Linked DNA regions of Drosophila melanogaster. The protein of the gene in region 1 interacts with the protein of each later gene in a pairwise test. Each region holds a gene or a part of one and is shown on either strand. Other genes may lie near its edges.

Region 1 (10,207 bases):
ACACCAAATTTGAGTTGCTTGGGCCAAAATCAAGATGGCAGTCTTCGGTTTCATTAGATTTTGGTTGCCTACTTTATGGCTGAAGCTCTACAAGAAAACGCATAATTATTTAGCAATTTCTGTTCAATGTTCAATTTCAAGTTTAGGTATGAGTTCTTAAAAATTTTAAACCTCTACCTAATTTGCTGGCTTTAGCTTCTGCCGCATCTTTAGCATTTCATTTCTTGTTCGTAACCAGTTTTCACTTCGCACATGCTGGAAAAAGGGAATAATATAAAATCAAAAGTCCGCAATGAACTCATCAAAATGAGCAGCGGATACTTAATCTGATTTACTTGCCTCAGTCAAGTCAGAGCCACCAGGATGACAGCCGTCTCGGCTGGCAAGCCGAGCAAACAAGCGTCTTCATAAAAAGAACGACATTTCGACCGGGCCAAGAGTGGATTTCTGTGGATGGAACCAGAGGATGGGCGGACCGGAGTGTCGGGGGAGAAGTGTCCCAGGACTTTGGCTGCCATGGGCTGCTCATAGCTGGCGTTCTGCGGCGTTGTGTACATCATAAAACAGCGATAAGATAACCATGTCCAGCGACAACCCACCGTGGCACTTGCCGCCTCCAAGCACTGGCAGTCCAACTTTTCCTTCGCCATCCTGCTACAGGCTCTTGATACCCCTTATATCCTAGACTGGCGGCACTAGCTTACAGGATTTGGAATCAAAAAGTTTATATACAAATTTAAAATTAAAGAAGCTATATTACCATTTATTCGGTTACCATTTCCACAACCAATAAGAAATATTAATTTTATTATTTATTTACCGTTACGTATACCGTAGCACAACAATATTAACTTTTCTGTTTTATTATTTAATAAATCCATAAGTTTTTCTTCAATTGAGAATTAATTATTGTAGGCGATTCAAAACTAGATTTTTAAATTGCGTTGCGTTTTTTAATCCAAGGCTAGTACACAAGCTTATTATTTAGAACAAATAATATCCCGAATCCGAAAATCATTTTATACGGTATGTTTGGATATATTTCTCCCCCAGATTTTTATTTGATTTCCATTGCCCGACGGTCTTGGTCCACCTCCCACAACGAAAATTGCCTGATGCTGGTTTTCCCTCCCACTTTGTTTGGTTTCTGGGGCGGCAGGATCTTTAGTGTGATTTATTTGCGCAGAGCACAATGTACTTTCTTTTCAAATAAATCATAAATTTCAACGCATTGCCGTGCAGTACACAATTGTTCTTGATGTGGCTCCCGCTCCAGATTTCGCCACGCCCACCAATAATTTTTGCCCAACGAACGGATTTTCCCGCTATCTCGCAGTGAGCGTTTTCAAGCTTGGATGGCCTATGGTCGCGTTGCGACAGCAATTGAGTTATCCGAAAAGACTATCTAAGCAGAAAGGAAGATGTATATGCGTTCAGATATTTCATATTATATTTATTGTGTTTTTATGGCACTTGGGCATTTGGCCCAAGTCGCCCAGCGTTTTGTTTGTCCTGGTGAAAAATGTAAAACGGATCTCGACCCTCGCAAGGCCGCAGGGAGAATTATGAGCTAAACGCGACACGCATTTCAGATGGCGTGGGTGGTGCCAAAGTGGGTGGCTGTGGTGCTTCCAGTTGAAGAACTGACCAAGTCGAGTTGGAAACACATGATTTGTGGCGGTTTTGTTAAGCCAGCCAGCCAGTCAAGTGAGATTTAGTCGCAATGGTTTTGGCCTTTAAGTTTGATTTACAGGCAACACTTCATTTTGTGATCTTTTGAAATTACTTGAAGAACACTGCAGTTGAAAGTTCAAAATATAAAATAAATTTAGCTAACATGATTTTATTAAATTTATCACAATTTTACTATTTCCTACAAGCTTAAACATTCATAGGCACACTCAAATGCGAGTAACTTCCTTTTCCTTGTTAACCTCATCGATTTGCACCTGAACGGGAGTACGATATGCACTTTGAACCATCATGGATACGAGAACCATTTCAACCAGGATAAGGATGTTGATGATAGCTGTAAAAAAATGTTAAGAAATGTTGAAACAATATTATTATTAAGAAAGTAAATTAAGATGGATCTAAATTACTTTGAAGTAAGATACTCACTTTGCTTGTAGACGGTGTGATTAATGGGATACTCCCCACCCATTTTGATGCCGTCCAGCTGATCATAGAGTACCAGGTACTGCAGTTTGCAAAGCATCACCACCAGTTGGAGGCAGAACATCTTCTTTCTCAGCTGATAGTCCCCGCGCACCTTCGTGATCATCCGCACAGTGATTTGGAGGGACCAAGCGCTATTAGTGAACAAACACTTAGCTCGTATGTTTATAATAATAATAAAAACGAATCAAATATTTACCCCAAGACAATGGAGCAGACGATGAAGGGGATGAAGAAGAACATGACCTGCCGGTAGAGCTGAATGTCCCGGTAGTATAGGATGTTCATCACCAGCATAATGGAGCCCTGCCAGAAGGGCATTTGCCATACCTGCGAAAGTGAGTCCTTTTTTAGTATAATATTTCCTTGCAAATCCGATTTCTGGGACATACCATGTATCTGGAGATGCAGAGTTTCGCCTTGGTGGGAATCACCATCGGCAGGCAGAGGCAGCAGCAACAGCACGGAGGAGTATTTAGTTGCACCGCCTCGCCGGCCGTCTCCTTCACGTAATTCTGCTCCGAGCCCACGTAACGAAAGAGCAGGGTGCGGAAGACAGGTCCGCCGACCATAAACATAACGTGCATCACCGTATGGCAGATGAACCAGGAGTACGGCACCAGAATGGTAACCAGGGCAGCCACCGAGATAATCGGATACAGGCCCACCATCATAATCGAGGGACCCAGCAGCGGCTTGTCCAGGTGACGACGCAGCCGAGAGACTGTCGTTGCGAAGATGCTGATGTTGAGGATGGTCAGCAGGCTGGCTATGAAGATGGCCAGGCTGAGGAAGGCGGTCATGTCTGTAAGTGAGTTCCCAGAAATCCAATTAGTTGGAAGAAGGGTGTGGGGCTTATGTAACATTTTAGTATTATTAAACACACGCTTCAATGAGAAGCTTTTACCAGAAGCAGTTACCAGAATAAACCTTAATTTTGTCAATAGAACTTTTATCTTGACTGTATCAACCTGGGGTTGCATATACCCATATAGGCGTAAACTTGTAAATAAAATATTTTAATGGAAGAACATTGTTGTAGATAATATATAAGACACATTAATCTTTATTAATATGCTATATATACAACAAAATTAGATAACGTCTTAATTGGTGTTTTTAAGTTATAACTATATTTTCTTTATATTTTAATATATTTTTAATATACTCACTCTCATAATACTCTTCCACAGTGGGATGTGTTCGCAGGCTATTTGTGTTGTTTCTGTTCTGGTCTAAGACCTGGGATATATTCTCTGTGGGGTCCATCGTGAAATAGTTCTCACTGGCATTCATTGTGCGGCTTTTATACTTAAGGTGATAAATTCAAACTGGGGCAAGTTGGTGCAATACTTCCTGGTTTCCTTCGCTTACGCTGCAGCACTTCACTTCACATCTTTATCATAGTTCACAATTTGCCACTTAGCAGACTTTGCACCTCATTAGCACTCATACATGTATCTACATGGGGAAACATAGAGATATTGGTTATTCTCCTACTCAGGTGAAAGTGTGAACAGTATTTTTTGGTTAGTAACTGATTTGATTCCAAATGAAGGCATTGAACCTTACTAGTTAAAATTTGACGCGGCTTGTTTGAAGTAATAAATAAAATGTGAATATTATTTCATTTCTGATTATTGCTAACCAAAAGTCTAGACGAAGTGTTAATACCCTTAGACACGATCGCCAGGAGTTCGCTTCAACAACTAATTAATGGAAAAAATATGAACGATGACACATCTTTTCCGAAGCCTTTTCACTTTTCGATAATTTCATGAACCTTTATTGCAAAGCTTAAGTAACCTTGTAAGGTTCAAAAGCACCTATAAAAATCGAGTTCCACTGGATTTTATATGTCACGTGACAAAAAAATAATAATATTTTATATCAATCAAGATAAAAGCCCCCAGTAGACATGACAAAAGAATTTTCAATTATAGCCTCATTAAATGAATTTGGCTATCATCATCCCAAAATATTTTTCCGTCTTTATATCTTAGAAAAAAATTCATTTAATTTTGCATGAAGCATTCTCTGCAAATAAATTTAAACTTCTCTGAATATATACAGATTATTAGGTCACCTTAATAAGAAAATGACTACAATACCGAAATATAGTACAACTCCCCCAACTTTTTTTTGCACTTATTAGCTTCAAGTGTTTTAACGTCCATGCAACTATAAACAAAACAATTAAAAATTTCAAAACAACTGGCCATTCAGTCGGCACATAAAAGAGCATTTAAACATCGGCAAGTCTGAGGAGACGAGCACGTGACCGAAGCCTGAGGCGATTCCATGGAGTCCAGTCAGTTTTTTGAAGCCCAAAGAAGACCCGACTCCCCTCAACCAAATCCAAATCCATGTGAGGAACTGGTTTTCGAAAGCAGACAGTAGGCAGGTAACAGACCGGCCATACTAAAGCAAATTATACGAGTTGCCTCATTGCACAGCCCATTATGTAATCTCTGTGTTATTGTCCATTTACAAACTGGTTTCATATTTTTGCACAGTAATAGCCGCATACTACGTGTTGAAAGTACCCGTAAACACACTGAAACATGATTCAACATCTCGTAGCACCAGCAACGGCCTTCAGATCTGCTCCAAAAACGTGTCAAAGTCCCCGCCATCTGACCCCAATTTATATCCGATTCAACGTAATCCGGAGATGGGGAAATGGAGAAGAATCACGGCTTATCGCCAGTGATCACAATCCGGAATCAGACGATCCAATTTCATCAGCTGGCGAAAAGAGAGCAAATCCATAATCAATTTACAAGCCAGCCATAAATCATTTACCAAAAAATTAGCATTCGCCGAATCTTTTTGAATTTAGCACATTCTAAGGTGCGTAAAACAAATCGCGCAAATAAGCGTCATATATATAATTTGTATTCGTGTATAAGCACATAGTAGGTGTATATATGCACTTTTGGGTGGTTTTTTTTTAACAGATCGCAAATGGGCTTGGCACGCCATTAACAACAAATTAAATTTTGCAAATACAAAAAATATTTCAGCTCTATTTTGAAAACGTGCTAACGTAACAAACGTCATAAAATATCATGTTACTCTTGTGAAATTGGCTACAAATTTGGGTAAAGAGAAAAAATTGTCAGTGTCAGTTGTGCAAATAGAAATTTTTTCGTTACATTTAAGAATAAATAAATTTCATTAAGAAAATATTTATTTATGTTTCAATTTTTGGGTATAAAAACAGTGTTACACAAAATGTTCGAAATGAATTGTAAACATTGGCCAAAAACAAGCCAGGCTTTGCATTTCGATGTTGCAACACTTTTTTTTTTGTGGGACCATTGTTAAATGAGGCATTTTGTATTTCTTTTTCATTCACATTTATGCCCACAGCTTTTTTGCTGACTGTCATCTATTGGCCGGCCCTGACTCTTGGCCAAGATGTTTCCGAGCTTTTGCGGCTAACAAAATTCGAATTTCTTGGCGAGACAAAGTGCTGTCAGAGTGTATGGGAAACTACACGACCTTACGCAATGCAAACAAATTGAGCAGAGCGGAAAACGTTTGAAAAACCAAAATAAAACCGAAAATCGAATGCAAATGCGAGTGCATTTTTGTGGGACAAAATCAAAATCAGAACGCAGACCTCAAAATGTAATTTGCTTTCTGGTCGACATAGCAAATGATTTCCTCCTGAAATTCGCAAGAGGAATTTGCACAAAGTGAGTTGAAGATGCAAGGAATTCACCTATCTACGCTTACTCAAGATATCAGCTGTTCATTAGGGAATGTGTCAAGTGAAGACATTCAGGAATGACAGCTATCTAGATAAAAACGTAATTAATTGACTTGTCTGATAAGATGCTTCAGCTCCCAATTGTCACATATTTTCGACATGAATGAAGCTAAAGCAAAAACATTTTGTAAATTCGCAGAATCGTTTGCGGAAGTACACAGCTTCTGTTTAAGTTATTATCTCAACGGAGAAGACAAATATTTGTTATTCGTTTGAATTGGTTTGTAGGAGATGCAGCAGATATCAGCTTTTCTTGGCTGCAACCTTGACCATCACCACAGCACTTTACGTTTGCCCTTGGCATTGCACTTTAATGAATTGTTTAAAGAATTTCAATTACACTCGGATGCAATTCGAGTTGTCTTTAATTCATATTGATTGCTCGCCGTCAACGAATGAAGAGTAATTATTCTTTACATGTTCACACGAATGTATCGTAATGAATATTAGCGTTGGATCACGAGTTGAGCTACGAATCAATAAACGACAAAAATACTTTGCACTGCAATTGGTTGAATGAATTTTGTTTAATTTTGCACTTTTCTCTATTTTTATTTGCTGCTTACACTTCACACTCCCTGTTTTCTCAGCTTTTCAAGCAATTTTTTAGCCGCGTGTGTCTTATTCGCTCGCACGCTGTTCACCAACTGAAATGAAACTGAAAATATTGTAGTGCCCATGCTGATCACGAACGCGAATGCGCCCATCACAGACCACTGACTATAATGCTGGCCAAGTGGCTATAAGCCGCTGTGTGTGTGCGTTTGGGCCAAAACAGAGAATAGCGGTAGCAATAGCCACAATACCTGCACACACCTGCTGACGCGATGTGCTAATCGACATTTGTCGATTGCAAACGCCGCTGCTGCTGGGAAAAGTTTTCTTAACACTCGCTCGCTGCGGAAGTTGGCTATTTGCCGATCAAAAAGCGTTTACTTTGGACAGCCGAAGTGAAGCTCGAAAAGAGGCTGGTCCTGCTAACACGTCGGTAAGCCATTGCGAAATGAAAAGATATCTTGATGATCGAGAGTGAAAATTTGATCACGCAATTGGGTAAACTAAAAACATACATTAAGGTTAAAGTACCAGGTAAGAAATGGGTGGATCATCAATATTACAAAACACTACAATTTTGTTTGGATACGTCATAAAAGTTTATATAAATTGGTAATGTTATAATCCCCAAAGCATATATTTTTCTATATATATACAATATACACCGCTAATATATATATTCCAAATACTCAACATAAATTGCGCAGTGATCTTCGCAATGGTATAAATTATGGTATCAGCTCTGAATATATTTTTCTTTTTATTTAATTAACTTTTTTTATGCCCTGAAGACCACTGTGCAATTGAGAAAATTGCACTCCTATCTTCCGGTGCGGCCAACCCAATTTTTATCGCCATCGCTGGGCACTCAAGTTGAAAGATAATTTGTATAGGAAAGTGCCATCAGCTTTATGAGAAGTCCAGAACTTATGGATTTCACGCCAAAAGCCAATTAACATGTCCAACCAGGTGATAATTACTTATTCCAGTGTTCGATATTGACCTCAGGGAATTGAAGTCGCGGAATATAAATACCGCGATATACAATGTATATAATGGCGGCGCTTCAATCAGCTATTAATTTGCACGCCCCCGAGCGAAAAATGCAGGGTGCGATTATATTAATCGAAGCCGGCGGGGAAACATAATTTCCCCAAACAATTTGATATTCAAATTAAACTCATTAGAAATGCCATCGAGTCGAGTGGACTTCGAGTCCAAAACTCAGCCCGCGGCGGGGTTAGGCACGTATCAAAAAACGTAAATCTAAGGCACATCCGCTTACTAATTTAATGAGCGGCCCAATTAACCTTTTTTACTGTCTCTCTGCGCTCGCACACTTAACGTAACCAATCTGAAATTAAATGCTAATTATTCAACCCAAAAATTATGCAATTAATTATGCCGCAACTGCAAAATGCCAAGTTTGTTCGTTTTTATAGCAGACTCTGCGGCGGTGGCTCATAAAAAGATATTATGATGGCAGACCGCTGCAATTCAACTTATAATTTGCAAATAAATCTAATTTTGTAAAGAGGGTCAGAAGTGATAAGGCCAATTAGGGCAGGAGATCGAAAGGGAAATGTGGAGAATGGTCAGTTTGAAAAAAGACGGGAAAACAGGGGGCATTTGGTAGAGGCAAAGTTTTTGCAAACTGGTTTAATGTAAACGCTTGAAAGTTGTGTCCGTAAACAAAGAAAAATTAATTTTGTGTTCACGTCGGCCAGTATTAAATGCCTGCAAAAAAAATTCAGAAGGTAAAAAGACTGGATATACATTTTTAATGAAAAATGAAGGGCTCTATTTAACAAAATGCACTTTCAAGTTTATACTCATAGTTTACAGATTTCAGAAAATATCCACTTTTTTTCTATATATATATTTACTTTACATAATTATTTAATTAATATTTAATAATATAATTCTTATAATATCGAAAATAAAAATATTTTGAATTTCCACCTTTATATAAGCATAAACATTGCATTTACTTAATGCAAGTTAAGTTAGTTCATTATACGATGTAGATAGAAATATTAAACCTATTCATATATTCGATGTTGAAAAGATACTACCTTTAAGAAATTTTTCGTTAAACAAAAAAAGCTTAAGTTATCTATAGTTAAATTTGACTTTTAGTACATGCGAGAAATCGAAATTCAGATTATAAAAAATCTATGCATTTTTATGGTCTATCTTTCCAAGAAAACGATGCATATGTAAAACAGATCTCACCGCTGTCTCATGAATTTCCAAGAACACCCCATGGTAACCCGCACCGAACTCCTTATTTGCTGTCAGCGATGATTTCTTGCTACCATTTCTTACCTGCAACCTTCAGCAAGGGAGCGCCTTTTGGCTCCCAGCCTCCTTCACGTCCGAATGTCCTTTTGAAGAAGTGGGGCCAGCGGAAAGGCAAACTGTGCTCGCGCTTTAAAGAAAAGATAAAATTCGGGGGCCCGAGGCGACGCCTTTGAAGAAGACGTCGCCAATTCAGCGCCTCGGCAACTTTTTCTTGTCGGTTTTCATTTTCTCGCCACTGTTTATTTGCCGCCTTTGGGATTTTCTTATATTTTCTTATTTTGCTCATTTTTTCGCGCTGCTTTTTCGCAAATAAGCAACAATGCAGCCGCCATTTGAATAACACAAAAAGACTTTGATGGCGAGATGAGGAGCGATGCTTGGGGCTGACTTGGCGTTAATTTCTCGGGTCTTTATGCTCCCTGATTCATTCAACTGTCGCTGTTGTTTCAATTTCAGTCCGCACCTTCGCTCCCCCGCTTTTCGCCAGTGTTGTTTGCTGTTTAACGAAGCAAATCAACAAATTGTAATGATGCCAAAGTCCTTTTCTGCGTTGCTTGCACTTTTGCTGCCGCCCTTCCACAAATTCTGTTTTGTTTTATTCTTCGTCTCAAATGGCAGACCCGAAACCCATTCAGATCAAGAATTTACACCCAAGTTGAATATGTCGAATTGGGGATACCCAGTGATTGGAAATCATTTGAATACGCTGGTAGTTAGTAGCACTGCATCCAACAGATACAAACTTGCTTGCAACTTGTTGTAAATAATTAATGAAGATTATTAATATACTAAGTAACAATCCAACGGATGCCTGATTACCACATTAGTGAGAGACCCATAAAGATTACAGATTGAGGGGTATCCCACAACCCGTGGCCCGAAACCCGCATCGGCAGCCCTTTTTTGCATGGTGCGCTCCACTTGGGGCGCAGTGTGGCGTAAAATGAATTGAGACATTCGGGCTCGCATAGAAAAACCCGGATCCTCCGGCCGAAAACCGCAGAGGTTCGGAGGTCCTTCAACAACAACTTCTGTGCTCTGCAGCGCCCTGAATGCAAAAGTGGCAAAAGTGGCAAAAGTTTTGCACCACTCGGCCGATGAACCACTTGAGCCCCCCACTTTGTTGTGCATTCAGGTGTGAAGTTTTTGGTCGGCGCACAAAAGTATGCTACAAATAATTAAATCATGCAAGGCAATTGCTGGAGTGTGTTTGTGTGGAAAGAGAGAGAGAGAGAGCGCGAGAGGGAGATGAAGAGACCGGAAACACTCGCTCCTTCTCCCTCGCGGCGAGACAAGTTCAATGCCGCCTTAAGGTCCTTGTCAGCCTGCCATCTAGTTTGATATTATCTAATCGATATTTATATTCCTAGCTCGCTGCCACCGCTCCTCCCG
Region 2 (6,077 bases), 3.8 Mb from region 1:
ACTACACTGGGCACTAGCAGCAGTGCTCTTAAATGCACAAAATGCAATGCTGGGGTATTCCAGAAGACCACCACAACGACCAAAGACGGTGTGACAGTGACGCAAACCAGTGGACAGGAGGAGTTAGACAAGATGCAGAATGATCTTACGGCAGCCGGAGAACAACTGGAGTTCTTCAAGCGCAAAGTGGAGGCCAGAAATCGGGAGATTCGCCGCTTAAACGACATGCTAGCAGGAGGGCGTCCTTTAGCGGCTTTGGCCAAGGATTGCTGTTACAAGGACGTGGGCGCCCTCTCCCAGGACATCGATCTGTTGCAACGCGAGAAGAGCGATTTAATGATGCAAGTTCGAGAATTCCAGGACAAGATGCACGATGCTATGCAGCGGGCTCTAAGCTCCGAAGAGGATAAAATAAAGCTCCAAACGCAGCTGGAGGAGCTCAAGGAAGCTGCGTTGCAAGTGGAACAGCAGGCCAATGCGGAAATCGATGCCAAGGAATCGGAACTTAGGCAACTGCAGTTGGAGCTTAAGAAGAAGGGAAAGGATCACCGACTGACCGGTGGCTTTGCTTCCAATCAAAGTGACAAGCATAATCTTAATGAACGCTTAAATCTTTTGACTCGTCGTGAAGAGGAACTACAGGCCACAAATGAAAAGCATAAGAAGAAAATTCAGAAAATGCAAGCAAAGATATTAGAACTGCAGAAGGAGCTCAAAGATCAGAATAAACATTCCAACGTCACCCTGGATGAAGAGAAAATACGCCTGTCATCAGAGCGGGACTTCTTCCAGAAGGAGTATCTGCGTCTGATGAGCAAGACCGGATCCGAGTCGGAGATCGCCTTCTTGCATGCCCAAATTAAATCTAAGGACGAGGAGTTAAAGGCCCTGCGATCTGAACTGTTTCATGGAGGAAAGCAGCAATTTTCCCCACAAAAAAGTGTGCAGTATGAGACACTGCCGCCCCCCACAGCTTCATCCATTACCTCCACCGTTACTAGCAATACGAGTGACTGCGTCCAGGCGGCCATTGCAAGGGTGGAGCGGGAACGGGATTGCGCCAGGACCGAGCTAGAAAGGGTTCGTTGCGAGCGGGATACGCTGAGGGAGAAGCAACTGAGCACTGTTCAACTTCATGCCGATGAGCTACAGGCTCTGCGCCTGCGAAACGAAGAGCTTAACGATCGCCTGCGGCAAATGGAACGCGATAATCGGGAACTTAACTCGGCTCGTCTGCCAACTGAAACGAATCTGGTGCTGCTTAAGGAGGACTTGTTGCAAATGAGGCAGCGTGTGGCATCTATGCAAACCGAAATTGACCAACTAAAGACCGAAAATGATCAAATAACGTTAGTAACAATGGAATTGCTGCTAAGCTTTCATATCGTTTATAAATTTGTTATTTATTTATTGGCAGCATGCTCAACGATCAAAACGAGCGCATCATAGCGGATTATCAGAGTAAACTTTTGGTGGCCGAGCGTCAACGACAGTCGGCGGATGTTCGGGCCAGCACCTTGGACTCCAGTCGGGAATCCAATCGCAGCGAGGTTACCCAACTCCGCATGGACTTAGGAGCTCTGCGGCAGACCTATATATCGTTAGAACACGAGAAGGATACGCTTCTGGTAACTTCATTTAATAATATATTTTCTAGAGATATTAACAATATTGTTATTTGCTTCACTAGCATCAATTGGATACCAAAACTGAGCGGGTATACAAACTGGAGTATGAGCTAAAGGATTGCAAAGAAAAACGGAATGCCCTAGAGCAGAATGTGAAGGACCTGGAGGATCAATTGCGGTAAGTGTGAGAATTGTTTAGTTTGTGCTTCAGAACCCGATACCAAAGAGTTTCAGAATAATTGACCTATTTACAACTCAATTTTTCTGCTAAAATGAAAAATATGTTATATTTCATTTCTAGACTCTATATTGTTAGTCTTTCAAATTCTTTTATTTCCCTTATCGTGATTTTCCTTAAATACAACTCGTACATTAGTCGATGTAATACATTAATGGCACTGTCTCATCCTATCGAACACGTTAACCGAATATTTCTAAAAACCACCTAAAAGAGAACAAAATGGTTAATTGAATAACAAATGATCGCATCGATCAATAAACACTGAGCATGCAAACACAAAAACAAAGGGTAATGGAGGTAATATAGGGTAAATTAGGTGGGCATGCGGTGAAAGAAGAATAAAAGTCATCACAACCGGACAGAAAATAGCTTGAAGATTGGGGATTTTAGGTGGTCCCACCAAGGTGCAGATCATTGAGAAACTTCGAGTTGAGTCGCTCGTTGGTTAAATACCTCGCCAGGCTGACACTTGGAGCGCTGCAGTTGCTCATGCCGCGTTGATCCGACTCCGAGGGCGTATAACCCGGTCGGCAGACGCACTTGGCCCGACTGGCGTGGACCAAAATTGAGGTGCCATTCGTGGTTTGCGATTTCAGTGGCTCTAGCCACTGACCCGCGCCGCAGGGTCCTCGGCTATACAGCTTGTGGCACTGCCCATTGATCTCCACCATTCCGGGCGTGGACTCGCATATATTCTGTTCCTTATCCGCTCCATCTCCCGTGCACTGCTGATCCAGATTGGTGAGGACACCGGAACAACCGCACATTCCATTGTAGGAGATGCCATCGATGGATGGCCTGGCGGTGAAGTCGAAGATCACCACCTGATGTAGGGCACACGGGCCTTGAGATCCAATCCTGTAGCAAGAATCTTCCGCTGGGAAGTACAGGCGATTCTTGCCACAGAAGTTGCGCACACAGCTGGTTCCGTTGACCAGGAACTCATTGGGTCCACAGGGACCCCTTGTGTACAGGCGATAGCAGATGCCATCGCTCCAGGGCACATAGCCCTCCTTGCACTGGCACTGGGCACGAGGCAAAAGCTGCAGGGTGCTGCCCGTTGTCTCCTGGACCTCGTCGGGTATGCGAAAGATGTGACCAGGTGGACAGGGGCCAGGAGTGTCTGAAAAATAGGAGAACATTAAATACGATATAGGAGAAAATTATGTTGAGATAGAATTTCAACATTTCCAAGGCGGTAATTGCAAATTAACGGGCTATGTAATCCCAATCCTACCCAGCTCATAGCACATTTGATGCGGAGCATGATAGTGCGGCAAGTGCCGCTGGCAGTCGCATCGACCGCCGGGCAAGAAGATGTGACCCGGCGTCGAGCAGGGTCCTTTGGTGTAGTGCTCATAGCAAGACTCCTCTGCCGGATAGTAGAACGAGGCCAAGTCGCCCACATCCTCGCAACGGCACTCGGCCAGTCCCTCCTCGTTGCGAACGAGGAGTTTACCCCGGCTGCATGGACCCTTTGCATGCCTCGCATAGCACTTGTTGTCCCTCGGCCAGAAGAGCATGTCCTCCGGGCAATGCAGCGGTCGCTTGCACGTACCCCAACGGTTGCCGGTTGCGGTTCTGGAAAGGATTTGCCTATAGTTTAGTTAACTTTTAAACATTTAATTGATATATACGGCACACATCATCCTATATCAATGATCGCCTTGAAGTGAGAAAGTCTGATAGATAATTGTTGATATCACATGAACTGTTAAGATTACTTCATTTTATTTTGAGAAGACATTAGACTTAAACAAAATTACCTGCGCTAGAAACACACACATCGGAAACAATGTCGGCTGATACTTTCGTAATGGACACCAAGGATGAATCGTTCTACGAGTGTAACATATGTCTAGACACCGCCCAGAATGCCGTGGTCAGCATGTGTGGCCATTTGTTTTGCTGGCCATGTCTGTACCAATGGATATTGACGAAACCCGATCACACAGTGTGTCCCGTTTGCAAGTCGGGCGTGGATAGGAGCAAAGTAATACCGGTGTACGCACGAAATGATAAAAGGCAGGAGGATCCGCGGGATAAAACACCGCCGCGTCCAACTGGAATTTGGTCGGATTACGCAAATGATCTCGAGTTGGGACTATTTTCGTACTTGCTTTTTGGTTTATTCTTTCCATATGGTGCCCTATCATCTTATCTGGATATGGACGAGCCACTCAATCCTGCTGCTGATCACGGCATAAGGGATGGGCAGAACGAAACACTCCTTTCTAAGTTCTTTCTCTACGTGGCCATTATGCTCATTATTTATATGATTGTAATTTAGCAAGAATAGGAATAAGATCAAAATAAACCATGATGGTGCAAATGAATCAGTATAACCGGGAAGATGTCGTCCTTTACAAATTATGTTCAGTGAAGTTTTCGGATAATTAGTCATTAATCTTTTTAGTATTGTGTAGCATTATGTAAAACAAATGTAATGAAAAGTAAATATTCAAATGCACTAGGAAACAAAACTGCATTTCATGTTTTAAACACGACAGGTTGTGTCGTAAAAGTAAAAACTGTATGTGAATGTACATACATAGGTTCTTGATGAACTTTCGTTATGCATAAAAACGAGATATCAAAGTAGAATGCTTCCGTTATTGCTTAAGTGCACCAGAACTTTCTCTTAACTCTTGATTAATGTTGAAACCCGAGTTTCGCAATCGAAATCAAAAGTTTCATACGACTAGAGAACAACCTGTAAACCTTCAGTGAAGTGAAAATGCGAACATGGCAGTTGCTTAATTCAAATAGTTTGAGCTAAGAACCGAACTCAACTCACCTCTTGACCTGATCCGGCACGGGTTGGAAGTACTCCTCGGGTTGGCAGGGTCCCCGTTCGTATAGCTTGTAGCACACATTATCGTGAAGCGGACTGAGTGCAGTTCCCGGAGGGCAGCGGCACTCGGCTGCAGGTGCATCCTTACGCTTGGCACTCACTGCGGTGGGACTGAGCTCCATGGTGGCCGGACATGGATAGCCGAGGGTGAAGATCTTGAAGCACTTCTTCAGAGGTGCCCAGTACAGCAGCTGCCAGCCACCGGACATGCTGGCGCACGGATTCTGTGCGGGATCACTCCACGGAGGCGGCACTATTCCGGCTGCCACCTGCTGCGGATTCTGGCCGGTGGTCAGTAGGAGGAGCAGGCAGGTGAGGATGGAGCTGCCCGCCTGCAGAGCAGCCCAGCAGATGAGCACTTTGCGACGCCTCATGGTGAATCTGAAAATCGAAAGTGTTTGATAAGTAAACCTATCCACACATCTAATCAAGAAATAATTACAATGGAGTTTCAGAAAGCTACATTTTATAGGATTTCTAGGATGCTAAACACCATATATCAGAATTCAAAGAGCTTTATGAAAGTGTCAACAAATCATAATATCGTATTGTGCTGGACCATTATTAATCGATTTGTATAATCAATAGGTTTCGGCATTTTTGAGGTTCATTTATAACGAATCGTTTGCGTGAAAATTAACCCTTGACGTTTCGTACTGAAATGGCAAATAACTTGAATTTAAGTCATTAAATTAAATTAAATTCGAGCTAGAGTAGACTTCCCCCTGCTCTTTTCAAGAAATCGGGGGTGGAAGCTACCATTAAACCTGATGATGGATGACTTTTCCATTGTGTCCGCTGCTGTTTAAAAATCAATTCATCGCTGCACCGGCGGAGAGTTTTAAAGCGGGTCCAATTCGAATTAGCCAACCCTTTGGGGCAACTGATTATCATGTTGGCCGGACCGCAGCGCAAAAAAAAAAAAAGAAAAAAAATTGAAAACTAAAAGGCCAAAAACCCAAAACACTGAAAACCAGTAAACGGTTCGCGCGCGGTTAACCATGACCCAAATACCCATTTATCTTGACTTCTTTTCGCCTCAGCTGCCGACCGCTGGTCAGAAATCTTCTGCTATTTTCCAACTGCTGGCTAGCCGCCCATCTTATGTAACCGGCCGCAAGATGATGAAACATGTGGCAGCCACAAACAGCCAGCGAAGCGATCAACACACCGCCGCCGCCGCCGGACACGAAAGGTGCCACACTTGGGCGGTACGAATTGCGTGATTTGCGGCCCGTTTTTGGATCGCTCTGCTAACCCGGCGGTTGCATTGGCAACTGGTTTTTCATCTACGTCAGCGTTTCATTCTGGCTAACTGGGGATTCTCCGGCCCATTTACTCCACTCGAATTGGC

What was found.
Region 2: the proteins of CG6836 (region 1) and CG32847 interact in a two-hybrid assay, tested with the Drosophila melanogaster proteins (one large-scale study listed by BioGRID).

Annotation. Positions count from the first base shown.
Region 1 is NT_037436.4:18,947,030-18,957,236, reverse strand, and holds CG6836 (uncharacterized protein), read right to left. Parts: upstream 6,609-10,207; 5' UTR 6,523-6,608; intron 3,640-6,522; 5' UTR 3,475-3,639; coding exon 3,351-3,474; intron 2,984-3,350; coding exon 2,571-2,983; intron 2,509-2,570; coding exon 2,378-2,508; intron 2,313-2,377; coding exon 2,122-2,312; intron 2,030-2,121; coding exon 1,902-2,029; 3' UTR 1,831-1,901; downstream 1-1,830. UniProt on the Drosophila melanogaster protein: Probable transporter.
Region 2 is NT_037436.4:15,117,958-15,124,034, forward strand, and holds CG32847 (uncharacterized protein), read left to right. Parts: upstream 1-3,614; 5' UTR 3,615-3,664; coding exon 3,665-4,159; 3' UTR 4,160-4,344; downstream 4,345-6,077. Other genes in the region: Cep135 (centrosomal protein 135kDa), read left to right, coding at 1-1,349, 1,418-1,628, 1,691-1,806; CG16959 (uncharacterized protein), read right to left, coding at 2,256-2,992, 3,107-3,450, 4,667-5,097.